2 linked regions of the Pelodiscus sinensis genome follow. The protein of the gene in region 1 interacts with the protein of each later gene in a biochemical or structural test. Links are inferred from orthologs where the notes say so. Each region holds a gene or a part of one and is shown on either strand. Other genes may lie near its edges.

The links. The genes of interacting proteins can lie anywhere in the genome.
Region 2: the proteins of SNTG1 (region 1) and PLEKHA1 form a complex in vitro, tested with the Homo sapiens proteins (2 studies listed by BioGRID and IntAct, with this or other methods). The link is inferred for Pelodiscus sinensis from reciprocal best matches to the Homo sapiens genes SNTG1 and PLEKHA1.

What each region holds. Positions count from the first base shown.
Region 1 is NC_134712.1:68,483,144-68,491,159, reverse strand, and holds the start of SNTG1 (gamma-1-syntrophin), read left to right. Parts: upstream 1-5,008; 5' UTR 5,009-6,416; intron 6,417-8,016. UniProt on the Homo sapiens protein: Adapter protein that binds to and probably organizes the subcellular localization of a variety of proteins. May link various receptors to the actin cytoskeleton and the dystrophin glycoprotein complex.
Region 2 is NC_134718.1:56,475,523-56,482,389, reverse strand, and holds the start of PLEKHA1 (pleckstrin homology domain-containing family A member 1), read left to right. Parts: upstream 1-3,859; 5' UTR 3,860-4,025; exon of another isoform or gene 4,026-4,099; intron 4,100-4,312; 5' UTR 4,313-4,421; intron 4,422-6,867. UniProt on the Homo sapiens protein: Binds specifically to phosphatidylinositol 3,4-diphosphate (PtdIns3,4P2), but not to other phosphoinositides. May recruit other proteins to the plasma membrane.

The DNA of each region.
Region 1 (8,016 bases):
GCTAACCAAACAGTGATTTATATTTTATTAGACGTCATTAGTTAGTAGGAGTGATCTGTCTTAAATGAAAAAGATTTGGTTAATCTATTCTGACTTTAAGTAGTGGTGTGCAAGCTTGACAACATTCTGATCTTACCTGTAATGTGATTTCACCCTGCTGCACTTACTGTTGCTGAAAGTGTAACTTCCTTTCTTATTTTAAGTGTTGAATGGGTCCTTGTCACAGGAAGAAGAGTGATCATTGCTATTGGAGTTCTAGTAAAAGATTTTAGATCTTCTTGGTTTTGGGATGATAGGCAGAGATTAGATAGGAGTATTTTTATGCTAGAAGGCAATAATGGGTGTTCATGAACCAATAATTTAATCTGGGTAGACAATCATAGGAATACCTGGAAATGTGATTGAGCTAAAGAACCGGCAGAGACTTCATAGGTCTCCCATTTTCCATGCTTTGGTTTTCCAATTTTCTCCCAAATCAAAATCTTTATGGTCAGTGGTGACTAGAGCATTCCCTGCAAACATGGAATTGATCAGATGTGGCACTGATAAGTTATTGCATTAGATAGATAAATACAAATACACTCAATTCAACAACATTTCTGTCAGGCGTTCAAGCAGTAATGTCCTTCCTGAATATACGATGAAAATGACTGGCTTAATTTTTGAAGAAGAGCATCCATTTTCAAACTCACGGGCCTTTTCTCATGTATTGATTTAGCATATATTTGAGTTATCCTTGCAGTGTTGCAATCTCATCAGATCCGTTTAAGTGTCTCAACTCAAAGATAGATATATTTAGACTTGGATAGTAGCAGATATAATTGACTTTTCCAGTAGTTGTGTGGAGGCAAAAACCCCAAAGAAACATGACTGGAAATGACCATTCAAATTACTGATCCACTGAAAAGAACTGAACATGAGTCACATACATATTTGGGTGGCAGATATATTGTTCAGTTAATATTTCACCATTTAAAAAGGGGGTTGTATCTCCAGATACAAAGTATATGTGTTCAAATAGGCATAAATTCCATCAGAGTGCATGTTCTTATGTATTTATCAAATCACAATTTATTTACTCTTTCTAGAGTAACTCTATGGCTGTGTCTAGACTGGCAAGTTTTAACGCAAAAGCAGCTGCTTTTGAGGAAAAACTTGCCAGCTGTCTACATTGGCTGCTTGAATTTCTGCAAGAACACTGACTTCCTACTGTCTGAAATCAGTGCTTCTTGTGGAAATACTATGCTGCTCCCATTCGGGCAAAAGTCGGTCAGTGTAGACAGTTCAGATTTGTTTTGCGCAAAAAAGCCCCGATCGCAAAAATGATGATCAGGGCTTTTTTGCGCAAAAACGCATCTAGATTGGCACAGACGCTTTTCCGCAAAAAGTGCTTTTGCGGAAAAGCGTCCATGCCAATCTAGATGCTCTTTTCCACAAATGCTTTTAACAGAAAACTTTTCCGTTAAAAGCATTTGCGGAAAATCATGCCAGTCTAGACATAGCCTATTAGTTTAGCACTTAATCTGCATAAAGTTGCATTATGTTGGTTGATGCCTAGGCTCACTGAATGTTATTGCAGTTAATATTTATAAAAAGTGATAGAAGAGTTATTGTTCACACTATTTGTTTGCATCAGGTCCAAATTTACAGCTGGAGAGCTTTCAACAATAAAAATTAGAAATTAAATAATCCTGCGTCAAGAGCAGCCTAATTGCAAGAAAAGTCAAGTAAAACATCAACAAGGAAATCATTTTTAATATTTTCCCAACTACCCTTCCCTTCAGCTGAAGCAAAATGCAAGACAATGTAGCACTTTAAAGACTAACAAGATGGTTTATTAGATGATGAGCTTTCGTGGGCCAGACCCACTTCCTCAGATCTATCACTTCCCTTCAACTGTGTGGCATTACTGCTAGAAAAGGGAATGCACACCGCGTGCTGCTAACTTTTCAATAAAATTCAAACTCCCAAAAGCCTTTTAGACCGTCACCCCAAACCCTGAGAAAAGTGTCCATTTATTTCAGCTGTTTAAGAGGTGAGTTTTTTCTCGTCTCTATAGCGCCACTTAGTGTCAGTGGGATGAAATTAGTCCTCTAAATATGGCCTGGTCCTACTTATTGAAAGCCTGCTCAGAGATCTTATCTGCCAGCCTAACCGCCCCCCGCAAGGGAAAATCAAGAGGATCACCACCACACTAAGCCAGCGCAGGACTAAGGAGTTTGCAATGCACTGATCTCTGGATGCCTGTATAAATAAGATGTTTGCTTTGGTCCCTCGTGGTTTAAATGTCTCTCCCGTACACTGCCCTTGGCTGAGCGTCTCGAGGATGGGGATGCGCTATGCTATGGGTTGCGAGCAGGGAGCAAAGGGGCTGGACAGGCCGAGAAAGGGAGCGAGATGCGGCTCCAAACCTCCTCGCTCTGACTGACACCCAGCGGGAAGCGGCGCTTGAAATCATCCAGCGGGGCCGCCCAGCTGCGTGGTCGGGGCGAGCGGCAGCCTATCCCTGAACGCGTTTGAAGCCCCGCCCCCGCCCTACGAGCCCCCGCGGCTGCTCCGGCAGCTGGGCTAGGATGCAGCTGGGGGGTGGAGGGTTCTCCAGTCCCGCGGGTTCCCTTTGCCCGGGTGCAGCCGACGTCTCTGGGTGCAAGCAGCGGCTTCCTTCCCCGGCCGAGCAGAATTAATTCGCCAAGCCCCCTCTCCCCACGTTACACGCCTCCACGTGTGGGGTGTGTGAGTCCCTCCCCAGTAAGCTCGCTCTCATTCTCTGCGAGCACCGGCGAGCTTTCCTCGCAAGGCAGGCGAGGCGAGCAATCAACAAACTACAGGGGGACCGAGTCTTTAAAGAGGTGGCGTCTCCCAAAATATCCAACATTCCGCACGCGTGCCGAGCCTTTCCCAGCACCCACGCGGCTTCTGTTCTCACTAAGATCACTGCTTCGGCCAGGCAGGCGTGAGCGTCTGCCCCCTGCCGCCTCCCCTTCTGCCTGTAACTTCCCAAGGGTCCGTGCACTTCGACTGCCCTCGGCCGGCTAGGACTCCTCCAGCAATCGATTGGAAGGGGAGGAAAAGGCAGGCGTCCTGGGAACTGCAAGCACATAAGCTAGGTCACTGATTTGTTCTCACTGCGACTGAGCCCTTAAAGGAGCTCTCGGGAAAGGCAGGATTCGCTAGAGCCTGCCCCCCCCCTTTTCCCTCTTGTCCTTCCAACACTTCCACATAAAACAGGGACGAATCTAGTGTCTCCTGCTTCACACCCACCCAGCTCTCTGAGGCATCTCGGCACAACCTGCAAAATCTCAGCTCCACCACTTGGATCTTGTGAGATCCAGCAAACATTTTTGCCCCCAGTATTTCTACCCAGGGCTGGATTAAGACCTTTAGAGGCCCTAAGCACTGAAAAGATTATGATGTTCCCCCATAAGTAATTTAAAATTAAAAATAATACTATACTGTAAAATCTCATTTTTTGGTGCCCCCTGCTTAGCTGGTGCCCTAAGCATGTGCTTAGTCTGCCTATTGGTAATCCACTTCTGTTTCTACCCCATAAACTGGAAAGAGTGGAGGTACACTTCTTGGGCCACAGGGCAGAGCAGTGAAAGGATCCTGCCATGCCCTCCCAAGGTAAACCAAGGGTGGAGAATCCAAGACCCAGGCTGGATGTGGCCTTCTGCTTGCCTGGATCTGGCCCCTGAGTCTTGGGGCTCCCCCCAGTATTGGGGAACCTGTGCTGGTGCTCCAGCTCCATAGCTAGAGCACAGAAAATCTACTAGCTTGCCCTCCCCCCCCAGGCTTTGGTGTGCAAGAGGAATGTGGGGAGCCTCTTTGTCTTTCTCAGTTGGGTGCCATGTCATTGAGGGTTTTTTGTTTCTCAATTTGTGAAAAATCCAGACATTTTTGTGTGGGTCTGCAACCCCCCAACCCAAAAAAGGTTTCCCACCCCTGTAAACACAATTAGCTGCTCTTGTTGCAGGGACAGAACTGAGAAGCAACACTGCATACAAAACCTGGACCTTGTCAAATGTTGGCCAGGGACCTTAAAATACAGAACAAGCTTGATCTACTATTCTGCCACGCCCCTCCCCCACTCCCCAAAAACAAATGTTTCTTCCCAGTCCCCAGCCAATTCTGGTAGAACGCTGTAAAAACTCTGCTTTGGCACCACTTTGCTTCTGGCTGCATCACCGCTTAAATTTTAGCACATGTGCAGAATCCAGGGCCAAATTTATCATGATTCACCAACATTGCCCCTTCTTCCCTATGCCCGCCTCACAATTACATAGAAAGTTGAAAACATCAGTTTAACCTGTGAAACTGCAACTAGTTAGGAGTATGCATTTTAAATATGTTAGCAACAAAAGCTGGAGGCAACCCTCAGATCTGAGATGTTCCATAAATGATCAGCCATGCAAATGATAAAATATGGATCTTTGTTTATCTCTTTACGGTAGCAATCAGGGCGTTATTTCCTTAGCAGATGGAGCCACAACAAAATCAAAGTACCAGAGCCCAAATTAGAAAATAGTCAAGGGCTTGTAGATTATGTAATCTAATTGACAAGGGACTGGTTGAGGACTGTAACAGTTCGTTTAATATTAAAAAGCCCCTGTAGCTTTAACTGTATCTGTTTTAAAAAGCCATGCATAACTTTTACTGAATATAGAAGATAATGTATTCCCATCTGCCAAGCAGTGCATTGCATTTCATGACGTACAGTAAGACAGAGAAGAAGGTAAAATAGAGCACGCACGCCTAAATTAGCCATTTCTAGCAGGCTATAGGTACCCAATGAGAACATTTGCCGTTACAAATTTTGCTGGGTCCGGATTGTTGAGGCAACAGTAGAAGCATCGCCTTTAACTCTGATTTTAGGTGCATGTTCTGCGTGTTTGGTGAAACTTTGGCATGCTCCCAGGTGTGTGTGTGTGGGGGGGGGGTCTAAGTTTGGGTGGTAGTTTGGCTCTGGGGCACATCCGTGTGGATTTTAAAGATACAACAGGGAGACGCTAAATGGCGTTCTCTGTATGGACAAAATATGGAGGTTCAAGGAGGAAAATTTAACAGTGCTATCTGATATTTCACTTCCCCATCAAGGTTTTTTTGGGTGCTCTGGGAAGCCCTGCTGCAGATTTTGGGTGGGCCAAAGGAGGAAGGAGTAGAACAATAGGAGAAGCTACATTTATTCTCTGCTGCGGTGGCAAAATGTGGGCTTGTTCTCTGTACATGAAGGTTTTAGGGGGCGAGAGCCCGCGGATCGGGGTGGGGGGGGGGGGCGAGTCTCTCGGGCTCTAGGGGCAGGTTGCGAGTTCTTGTGGCGCTGTTGCACTGAGCGCGCCCCGGCCCCAAGGCTGTTTTGAAATAGCAGCGCTGGCTGGATTTGGACCTCGCGCAGGCAGCGGAATGTGAGCGTCCCGGGCCCCACAGGGACAAGGATTGGTGGGCTCCGCTACCCCCCTCCAGCGCCTCAGCTTTTCCCCTTTAAAGCGCTCTCCCCGCAGCCTCAACTTCTCCCCGTCACGTGTGATTTCCTTTCGGGGGCCCGGCGGGGAGCCAGAAGCCGCCTGGCGGAGCCGGCTCGGATGTTAGCCCGGCGCTCGCTCCCCAGGGAGGATCCGGATTGAGCCCGGCTTCCCCTCCCGGGGCTCACCCGCTGCACTTGGCGGGGGCGCGGTAAGTTTCCTGCCTCCCGCCTGGAGCCCGCCCAAGCGCCATCTCTCCCCCTGTCTGCCTGGGGCTCGGCTGTGCACGGAGGGACTTGGGTTTCTCCCGCGCTCCAGCGGCGGAGGACGCCCGGCAGCTCCAGCCCCCGCACGGCGGATCTTTCCTCCCCCGCCGCGCGCGGGAAGCGAGTTGGTGGCAGCTGGCGGGGGCTCCCGGTGGCTCGGATCCCCCCCCCCCCCTCTCCCTCCGCAGGGATGGGCAGCGCCTCAGGACTCCGCAGGCAGCGGGACCCAGCGCTGCCGCTGCAGGTGCCCATCCACCGGCTCGCCTCGCTCTGCTGCTGAAAGGGCGGCGCTCCCTCCTCTCTCGCTCCCCCTCCCCTCCGAGTTATTTATTTTATTGTTTGGGGTGGCCGGAAAGTAACCCCCCGCCCCTGCCACTGCAAGCGGGGTCGGTGGCGTCATTCCGCTCCGGAGTTGGAGCGCTCACCAGCCACTTCCACCCGATTCCCCCCCCCCCCCCTCTGAAAACACAAATAAGAGTGTAACTTCCCGGAGGCTGCGGTTTAAATCATGGCCCCTGCGATCCGGGCCAAGGGGAGAGAGATGCCTGGTGACGCTAAATAAGCCGCGGAGATGTCCCCGAGTGGGTTGGAAATACTTTGGCCATAGCGCGGAGAGGAGATCCGAGGAGGACCAGCTCTGCCACGTTTGGGCCACCGAGAGAGCAGCTCGCCTGACCTAGCACATTGGCAAGTAAGTCACCGGCTCCCATCCTTGATTTCCTTGATCGTACAGGTCTCGCCGCCGAGGCTTTGCAGCTGGTGGTTTGGAAGTCCTGGGCTGGGGGGTAGGGCGGGTAGCGGAGTCACCTGAGGGTTTCGATCTCCTCCAGGGCTCCTCATGTGAGACATGTGCGACAGAGTGGGCTCTGTTGCAAGCCAGCCTGGGTCCCTCTCTGTGAAAGTGCCTGGTAAACACCTCCTTTACAGCAGCTGCCCAAGAATAGGGGTAAAGGACTAGCCTGGTGACCACTTCTGCAGCTACAGCCCCTGGGAATGATGCCGTGTATGTTTATTAGCATCCCAGCTATCTTTTTCTCTGTGTTTGCATGTCCCTCAATAGTGGGAGTCTTTTACTAGAGTGCATTTTAGCCACCGCTCTTGTAGGATAGCCCGGTGTGTATCTGAGGCATTTATGCAATGCACTACAGTGCTTGAATTTGATCTGCATATCTCTTAACTTTTACCATGCCATTTGGTAATTGTTTTTTTTCTGATGCTCCTTCTCTTGTGGGTTTTGTTTTCCTGGCTTTTTTTGAAAAAATATGAAGTTATGTACATCTATGGATCTTCCTGGTGATTGACATTAATCAGAAAACAAAAGTTGGGTCCAGCATGGTTTCAGTTTAACAGGGCATACAGAAAAGGTGTAGTAAGCAAGCTGTCCAGTCCTGCTCCGCTGAAAGTCCACACTAAAACTCTACTTAGGAGGGAGCAGGGACAAGCCCAGGAGACTATAATCTCTTCCTAAAAATTCAGTTGAAGATAGTTTGCTCAGAACTAAGCTGTCACACTGCAAAATGCCAGATTTCCTGCTCACCTTTCAGCACAGCTAGTGCATAAGTTAGCTGACCTGCCTCATGGTATCTACCTGCCACCCATCACTGAAATTCAGGAGATGAAGATGTGATTTCACATTGAAAGGCAAACAACAAACTTCAAAGCTTATTTAATTATGTTTATGTTTATTGATTTTTCTTAGCACCTTCTCTACAAGACTGAAAACTATAATCTTATAGTGACCTTGATGAGCATCCTGCTTCAGCATGAGGTTTCACAGGGAGAAAAAAATTACACTGATTTACAGCCAAGCATTGACATTTTGCTTAGAACATGATCAGTTCCAGTGAGCATATGACTTTCAATAGTGGTAGTGGGGATAAAAGGGTGGAGCTAAGGATGTGTATTCATTTACAGCAATGAACTTGCTTGACAGTTACAACATAAATAATTCTATGTACCTGCTGCAAGTAATGTAGAGGGATTTCCTTCTATAGAAAAGTAAATGGGTATGAAATAATTGTTGATTTTTATTTGACTTTATTTTCTAAACAGAAGTCTCCAGTAAATGGAGACCAATACAAAAAAAAAAAATCCCAAATCTTTCCAGATTAATTCACTTTGATTTGTCAGCACTTGTCAACTCTGAGGGTTTAGAAGGAAGATCCTTTTATATACAGCTGCCTACACTTTTCTCATTTGAGCAACATTATCATAATAGGATAAAAAGGTGCTTATATGTTGAACACATGACTAAAGCACCAGTTATAGCAAAAGGATGAAATAAGCCTTTT
Region 2 (6,867 bases), on another chromosome or scaffold:
TTAAATGCCAGCCTGGAACAAAGAGGTATTTACATGCAAGGATTGAGTTTAAACGCATTCCATTTTTAGAGATGACACTGCTCTAAGCTAGGAAAAGCTTTTCTTTATTACTACTTTGGACCACATTAAATATTTCAGTAGAAATGGTTGTGTTTAGAGTGGAAGCAGATTATCATTAAAACTAGTTAATATCATTATTGGAAATTGTTACTGGCAACTGGTGTGGTCAGTCAATGGCAATCTTTTCATTGACTGAAATGTCCTTTAGATCAGACCTGAAGTGAATCTTTGATCGTTTCTCTGACCCTGGCTCCTGAAAATTCTCTGCTTCAGTTCCCCATCTAGAAAATTAGGTCAATAAGATTTACTGCATTTTTTGTTATGTGATAGGGGTATACCCTTTTGTAACTCTGATTTTTATCAGGTGACCTTTTTATCATGTGTCTTGGTGAATGAAGATGAATGGATGTTTTATATCATGCAATATTTCAAAGATAAATAGTGTTATATTAATATTAAATTATACAAGTGTTGTTTGTTGGCAAATACATGGTAAAATAACCTGTGGTGAGATCTCACATTATTGAAATATTTCTTAATTCTATCCATCCATATGAATTAATATGGTGAGGCAAGGACGTCTCCAGGAAACTAGTAGTTTTGCAGTTTTTTAGACTGTAAAGCTTTTGTAGTGGGTATTGTCATTTACTATATATTTGAACAGTGCCTGTCATAATGGAGACTCAACCTAGTTGAGGCCTCTAGGTCATCTGGCAATTAAAATGTTAATTATAACAGGAATAAGGAAAGGTGTCTGCCATACAGTGATCCCAACTCTCCTGATTTTATCTTGAGTTTTGTAATAGTATGTGTTTTTCTGAAAGTCCTAGCTCTTGGAATCAGGTAATTATATAACCATCTCAGGTTTCATTTTTAAAAAAAGTTTATAGTCATCATGGAGTACTGCAGAAAGAGATCTAGGGTCATAGTGGACTACAAACTAAATTTGAGTCAACAGTGTGATGCTGTTGCAAAAAAAGCAAACATGATTCTGGGATGCATTTACAGGAGTGTTGTGAGCAAGACACAAGAAGTCATTCTTCTGCTCTACTCTGCGCTAATTAGGCCTCAGCTGTAGTATTGTGTCCAGTTCTGGGCACCATTTTTCAAGAAAGATGTGGAGAAATTGGAAAAGGTCCAGAGAAGAGCAACAAGAATGACTAAAGGTCTAGAGGACATAAGCTTTGAGAGAAGACTGAAAAAATTGGGCTTGTCTAGTTTAAAAAAGAGAAGACTGAGAGAGGACATGGTAGTGGTTTTCAAGTACCTAAAAGAAAGTTACAAGGAGGAGGAAGAAAAATTGTTCTCCTTGGCCTCTGAGGATAGGACAAGAAACAATGGGCTTAAACTGCAGCAAGGGAGGTTTAGGCTGGATATTAGGAAAAACTTCCTAACTGTCAGGGTGGTGAAATAAATTGCTTAGGGAGGTTGTGGAATCTCTATCTCTGGAGATATGTAAGAGCAGGATAGACAGACATCTATCGGAGATTGTCTACTCTACACGGTGCTTGGTCCTGCCGTGAGGGCAGGGGACTGGACTCGATGACCTCTCGAGGTCCCTTCCAGTTCTAGTGTTCTATGATTCTATGGTTGCCAATGTTATCACATGCCCATAAATGAGAAGAAAAATAAAGAACTTTAAATATCTGTAAAATTTCATGACTTTTAAGACAATCTGATGATTTTGGTATGTGACTCATGATTAAACTCCTAAGTTTGGCAATATTGAACATTGTACAATCATTCAATACCAGTAACATGGCTGCTGTGTCTTCACACGGATGGTCACCATGATTCCAGTGTTAGTATCCAGTAATTTTTTTTTATGCTGCAGCAGGAGACAAATTGTGACTTTATGGATGAGAAGAAGTCACTCACCAGGATTCTCACTGTATGATGTATGCAGCAAGTATTTATTCTATAACGGTTCATAAGAAAATTGACTAGATTCAGGGGCTGTCTACTGCAAATTTACAATCTTTCTAATAGCAGCCCATCATGCATCTATGGGACTATCAGTGGATTAGAGTAATGAGTCACCACTTAATCATTTAAGATGCAGCATTTTGTAGAAATACCAAATGTAGGGTGACCATAATTCCCAAAGGGATGATGGGGCAGTGCATGGGACTATGAGGGGGCACCATAGCTACTGGCTCAAGGTGCCACCCCAGACTGCCACTGGTCACTTGAATCCTGCTGGTCCCCCCACCCATGCCTATAGCTGGTCACTTGAAACCTACAGGCCTGCCATACACTAGAACCCTTTCTTTCTCCCCCTCCCTCCCACTCCAGCTGAGCCTCTCCCCTGCATGGGGTTGGCATCCCCACTTTTCCGCCATATGTTACTCGGTACCACATCCCACTTTTTTGACAAAAGTGGGCATTTATCCAGTTTGCTCTTGCTCTTTACTTTTGCCAACTGATCTAGTTAACAAGAGCAAACAGGACAAATGCTCACTTTTGCTAAATAGTCGGGACGGCTGTGATAAATCTTAAAAAAGGGACTATCCCAGCCAAAATGGAACTTAGGGCCACCGTAACCAAGTTACATTCTTTCATTTGGGAGTTTTACTGTTACTGATAAAAATAAGTTTTCCTTTTTAAGTACTGTATATATATCCTCTAAATGACAGAAAACATCAACGATCTAATTATTGTGCATTAATATCTCAGTTGTACAGAACTTTACAATGTCAAAGCACTTTCTAATTTGTAATCTCAGACAACAGGGATGATGGGTTAGCATACTATGATTCCAAATGATCCATTTGATAGGTGTGGCTCCAGAGATGACAAGTATCAGGAGGTTGCAATGTTCCCTCTAATTTTTTTCCATCCATGTGTGGAATAAATCATGTTATGTGTATTGAGGCATGTGCAATGTGCACCACCAGTAAAAACACATGCTGTCTGTTGTGGGCACTCTGGTAAATAGCTGAGCGGCATTTGAATCTCTTCGGGGCAGCTGCCCAGGGACCTAGTTTACAGGGAATATTGCAATACCCAAATCTGAGGAATGGTCCTACACAAAAGTTGCTTCCCAGCATGCAAAGCTCTTTGGTTATTCACCTTAGAGATAAGGCCTTTTGCAGCTTTTGGTTTGTTTGTTTGTGTTTCTCTATACATATAAAACGGTTAAAAAGGAGAGTCTGCCACTACAGTATTCCTTTCCCTTCCAGGACAAAGTGAAGCCCTGTGGAGCCAATAGTTCTCACTATGCAAGGTGGCCCTATCAGGAAAGTAGATCCATTCTATTGTCAACGTTCATGATTTTGTTTATGTGAGAATATCAGTTTTCATGTAACCTAGTAATTTTCTGCCTGGGAATTGTGAATAAAAGATAGCAAACAGGAACCTGAACAACTCGAAAAACTCAAGGCAAATTACTTCCCCCTCTAATTTACTATTTTTGGAATCTCCAGGTTTAAATTAGGGCCCATTCATTATTCTGGAGCCCAGCTGGTGACTTTTAGACACTAGGAATTGCCCCCACTGCCAAGCATGCCTCGCTGTGTTATCACCGCACAGGCGCCTTAGCCCTGTGGTTCAACCCGGCGCGACTTCGAGTGCCAAAATGCAACGTTCCACTCTCCTCTCAATGGCTAAGGCCCATCGGATTGCCCCTGTAGAGACTACATGTCCCAGGACGCCTTGCGGCTGCGGTCCAGCCCCGCCCGCCTTGCCGTCTGTGTGTTTTTATGCGGTCTGATTGGAGTCGCTGAGCCCATGGGGTGTGAGCGCATGCGCAGTGATTGAGCTTCGGTTCTCCCGTAGCTGTCGCTTGTGAGGGAAACGAATAAAGTTTCTCCATTAAAAAAAAAAAAAAAAAAAAAAAAAAAAGGCCGCGGTGCTGGGCCGCTGCGGGCTGCGCTCTGCGCCGAGTGGGCGGCGGCTCTGGGAGGGGGGCCGCGCTCTGGGCTGCCACCGCTTCCCTCTCCTGACTGGGCTCCCCCCGGACTCCAGTGAGTAGCAGCCGCCCGGGAGGGACTCGGCCTTCCCCCCAGAGCGCGGGAAGGGGCCCTGTGCGGGGATGGGGGTAGGGCCCGGCGGCGGGGGGAGCTGGGGAGGGGCGCACAGAGGGCTGAGGGGGCGGGGGATGCGGCAGGGGTGCCTGGGCGGGTAGGGAACGGGCGCGGGAGCAGCATATGTCTGTGCGTGGAGGGGTGTGAGGGGGCGGGGTGGGTGGGTGGGTGGGAGAGGTAGGGGGTGTCTGAGGGAGTGGTCTGAGGCTGTGGGGTGTGTGTTGCAGAGTGTAGCGAGGAGGGTGTTGAAACAGGAGCAGAGTGAGGGTGGCGTGGAGACATCCAGGGCCAGGGGACACCTGTGTGCGACTTGAGGAAACTTATTTTCATTACTGGGTAAAATACCTTATTTTGCTATTAAGACTTGTGAAGAAAGGGACTGCTTTCCAGTCAGACCCTTTCGTTTAGTTTTGCCGTATGAGAAGTGCTTCACCCTGACTCTGCGAGCACTGCTTTTTGGTGAGGGTTTGTGAAGTGACTCTACCCTGAGGGAAATTATGTGTTTATGGTATAATTAAGCTGGTAAGCATTTGAGACTCTGTAACATCTCCAGCGATAAGAGGCTGATCTCATTGCCAGTATTTTTTTCCTTTGCAATGCCTGTCTTCTGAGCATGACATGAACTCTGATGTTATCTGCTTTGAAGCACACTGTCTCTCTCTCTCTGTGTGTGTGTGTGTGTGTGTGTGTGTGTGTGTGTTGGAATTAACTCATGCAGCTTTTCAGAATTTTGCATATATGTATTACGTTTGCATTTGACATTGACATCTCAAACTGTGTTTTAAAGATCAGATCACAATTGTGGTTATGACTCATTGACTTTCTAGTTTGGTTTAGCTTTGAAAGGGTTGGCTTTCACATGGGCCTGTCTTACTCTAGAAAAACCTTTTCTTTAGTAGGTAGACTGGCAAGAAAATTCTGTGGTTCTGACATGATATTCTGACTTGATTGGAATCTAGGCTGATTTAGCTAAGCAAAATGTCTGTGGGTGGATAATGGGTTTACCTACCTGATGGACTGCAGGTGAACTATGGGATCTGACTTTATTACTAGTTAAGTTAACAAGCATATCGCTTTCATTTTGTTGGAATTTTACAATGTTGTTAAGTAGTTAGAATAAGAAATCATATACGACAGCCTAAAGATCATAGAATCATAGGACTGGAAGGGACCTCGAGAGGTCATCGAGTCCAGCCCCCCCGCCCTCAAGGCAGGACCAAGCTCCGTCTACACCATCCCTGACAGATGTCTATCTAACCTGTTCTTAAATATCTCCAGAGAGGGAGATTCCACCACCTCCCTTGGCAATTTATTCCAATATTTGACCACCCTGACAGTTAGGAATTTTTTCCTAATGTCCAATCTAAACCTCCCCTGCTTCACTTTAAGCCCATTACTCCTTGTCCTGTCCTCAGTAACCAAGAGGAACACATTTTCTCCTTCCTCCTTGTGACACCCTTTTAGATATTTGAAAACCGCTATCATGTCCCCCCTTAATCTTCTTTTTTCCAGACTAAACAAGCCCAGTTCATGAAGCCTGGCTTCATAGGTCATGTTCTCTAAACCTTTAATCATTCTTGTCGCTCTTCTCTATACCCTTTCCAATTTCTCCACATCTTTCTTGAAATGTGGCGCCAAGAACTGGACACAGTACTCCAGCTGAGGCCTAACTAGTGCAGAGTAGAGCGGCAGAATGGCTTCACGAGTTTTGCTTACAACACAGTACAGAACTTTCCTAAAGGGCATGTATGTCATTTGAAATACTCACCTGTTGACATTTCTGGAAAGAAAATGTTATCCCATTGAAACTACTTTTTTCTTTCAAGGCTCCATCTATAAGAGAACTAAACCATGAAAGTCAAACTGTTTTAAACATCCTTATAATTGATCTTTATTGCTCTGACCATTTTAATGTAAAGTATTTAAACAAATACTATTCAGTTTCAAGTGCGTGGATGACATTTTAGTAGTTATTGCATTAATTAGAATTCGATCACACTATTGTGAAGAACTGTACAGTTATTTATCCAAAAGTGAAGTTAAGGTGCTTCAGAGAGGTAGCCGAGTTAGTCTGTAACAGGAAAAACTTAAAAAAAAAAAAAAATCCAACCAAATAGACTAGTAGCACCTTATAGACTAACAAAACATGTAGATGGTATCATGAGCTTTCGAGGGCAAAACCCACTTCAGATGACCGGCAAAAGCGTTAGTATAAGGTAAATCATTAATTTTGGCAACTTCTTTTTATTCATACTCAGTCCATGAGTACCTTTTATTTTAAATTAGAAGAGTTACCTGGTGTTGGTGGGGTCCAGCCAGGGGCAGGGCCTCTCAGGCCTCACACTGGCATTCCTGTTGCCTGGCCTGGTGGTGCAGTGGGGTCATGCAGGCCAGCCCTGGCGGCGCTTCCCGGGCCCAGCCCAGAGGATGTGGTTCCACACAGGCCAGCCAGGCACAGCTGTGCTGGATGGCCTGGTGGTGCTGGGGGTGGGTGGGTTGTGGTTCCTGCGGTGGGGAGGTGGGGCTGTGCTGTCCAGCTAAGCAGTAATCCCAAGGGGGTTCAGCAGTGGGAGGCAGGGGATGCCCTGTTGATATCTGGTTCTGTGGCCAAAGGCCAGAGGAATTAGTTTAGGGCAGGGGAGCCACTTCCCTGGGCTGGCGGCAGGTAAGATGGTGAGCCCTGTCCCCAGCTGGCCATCCCTTCCTGGTGCCCCCAGTGGTCACTGTGCAGCATTACTGTACAAGAAACAGGAGGAGGGCTGTTCTGCAAAGGGCCATCACT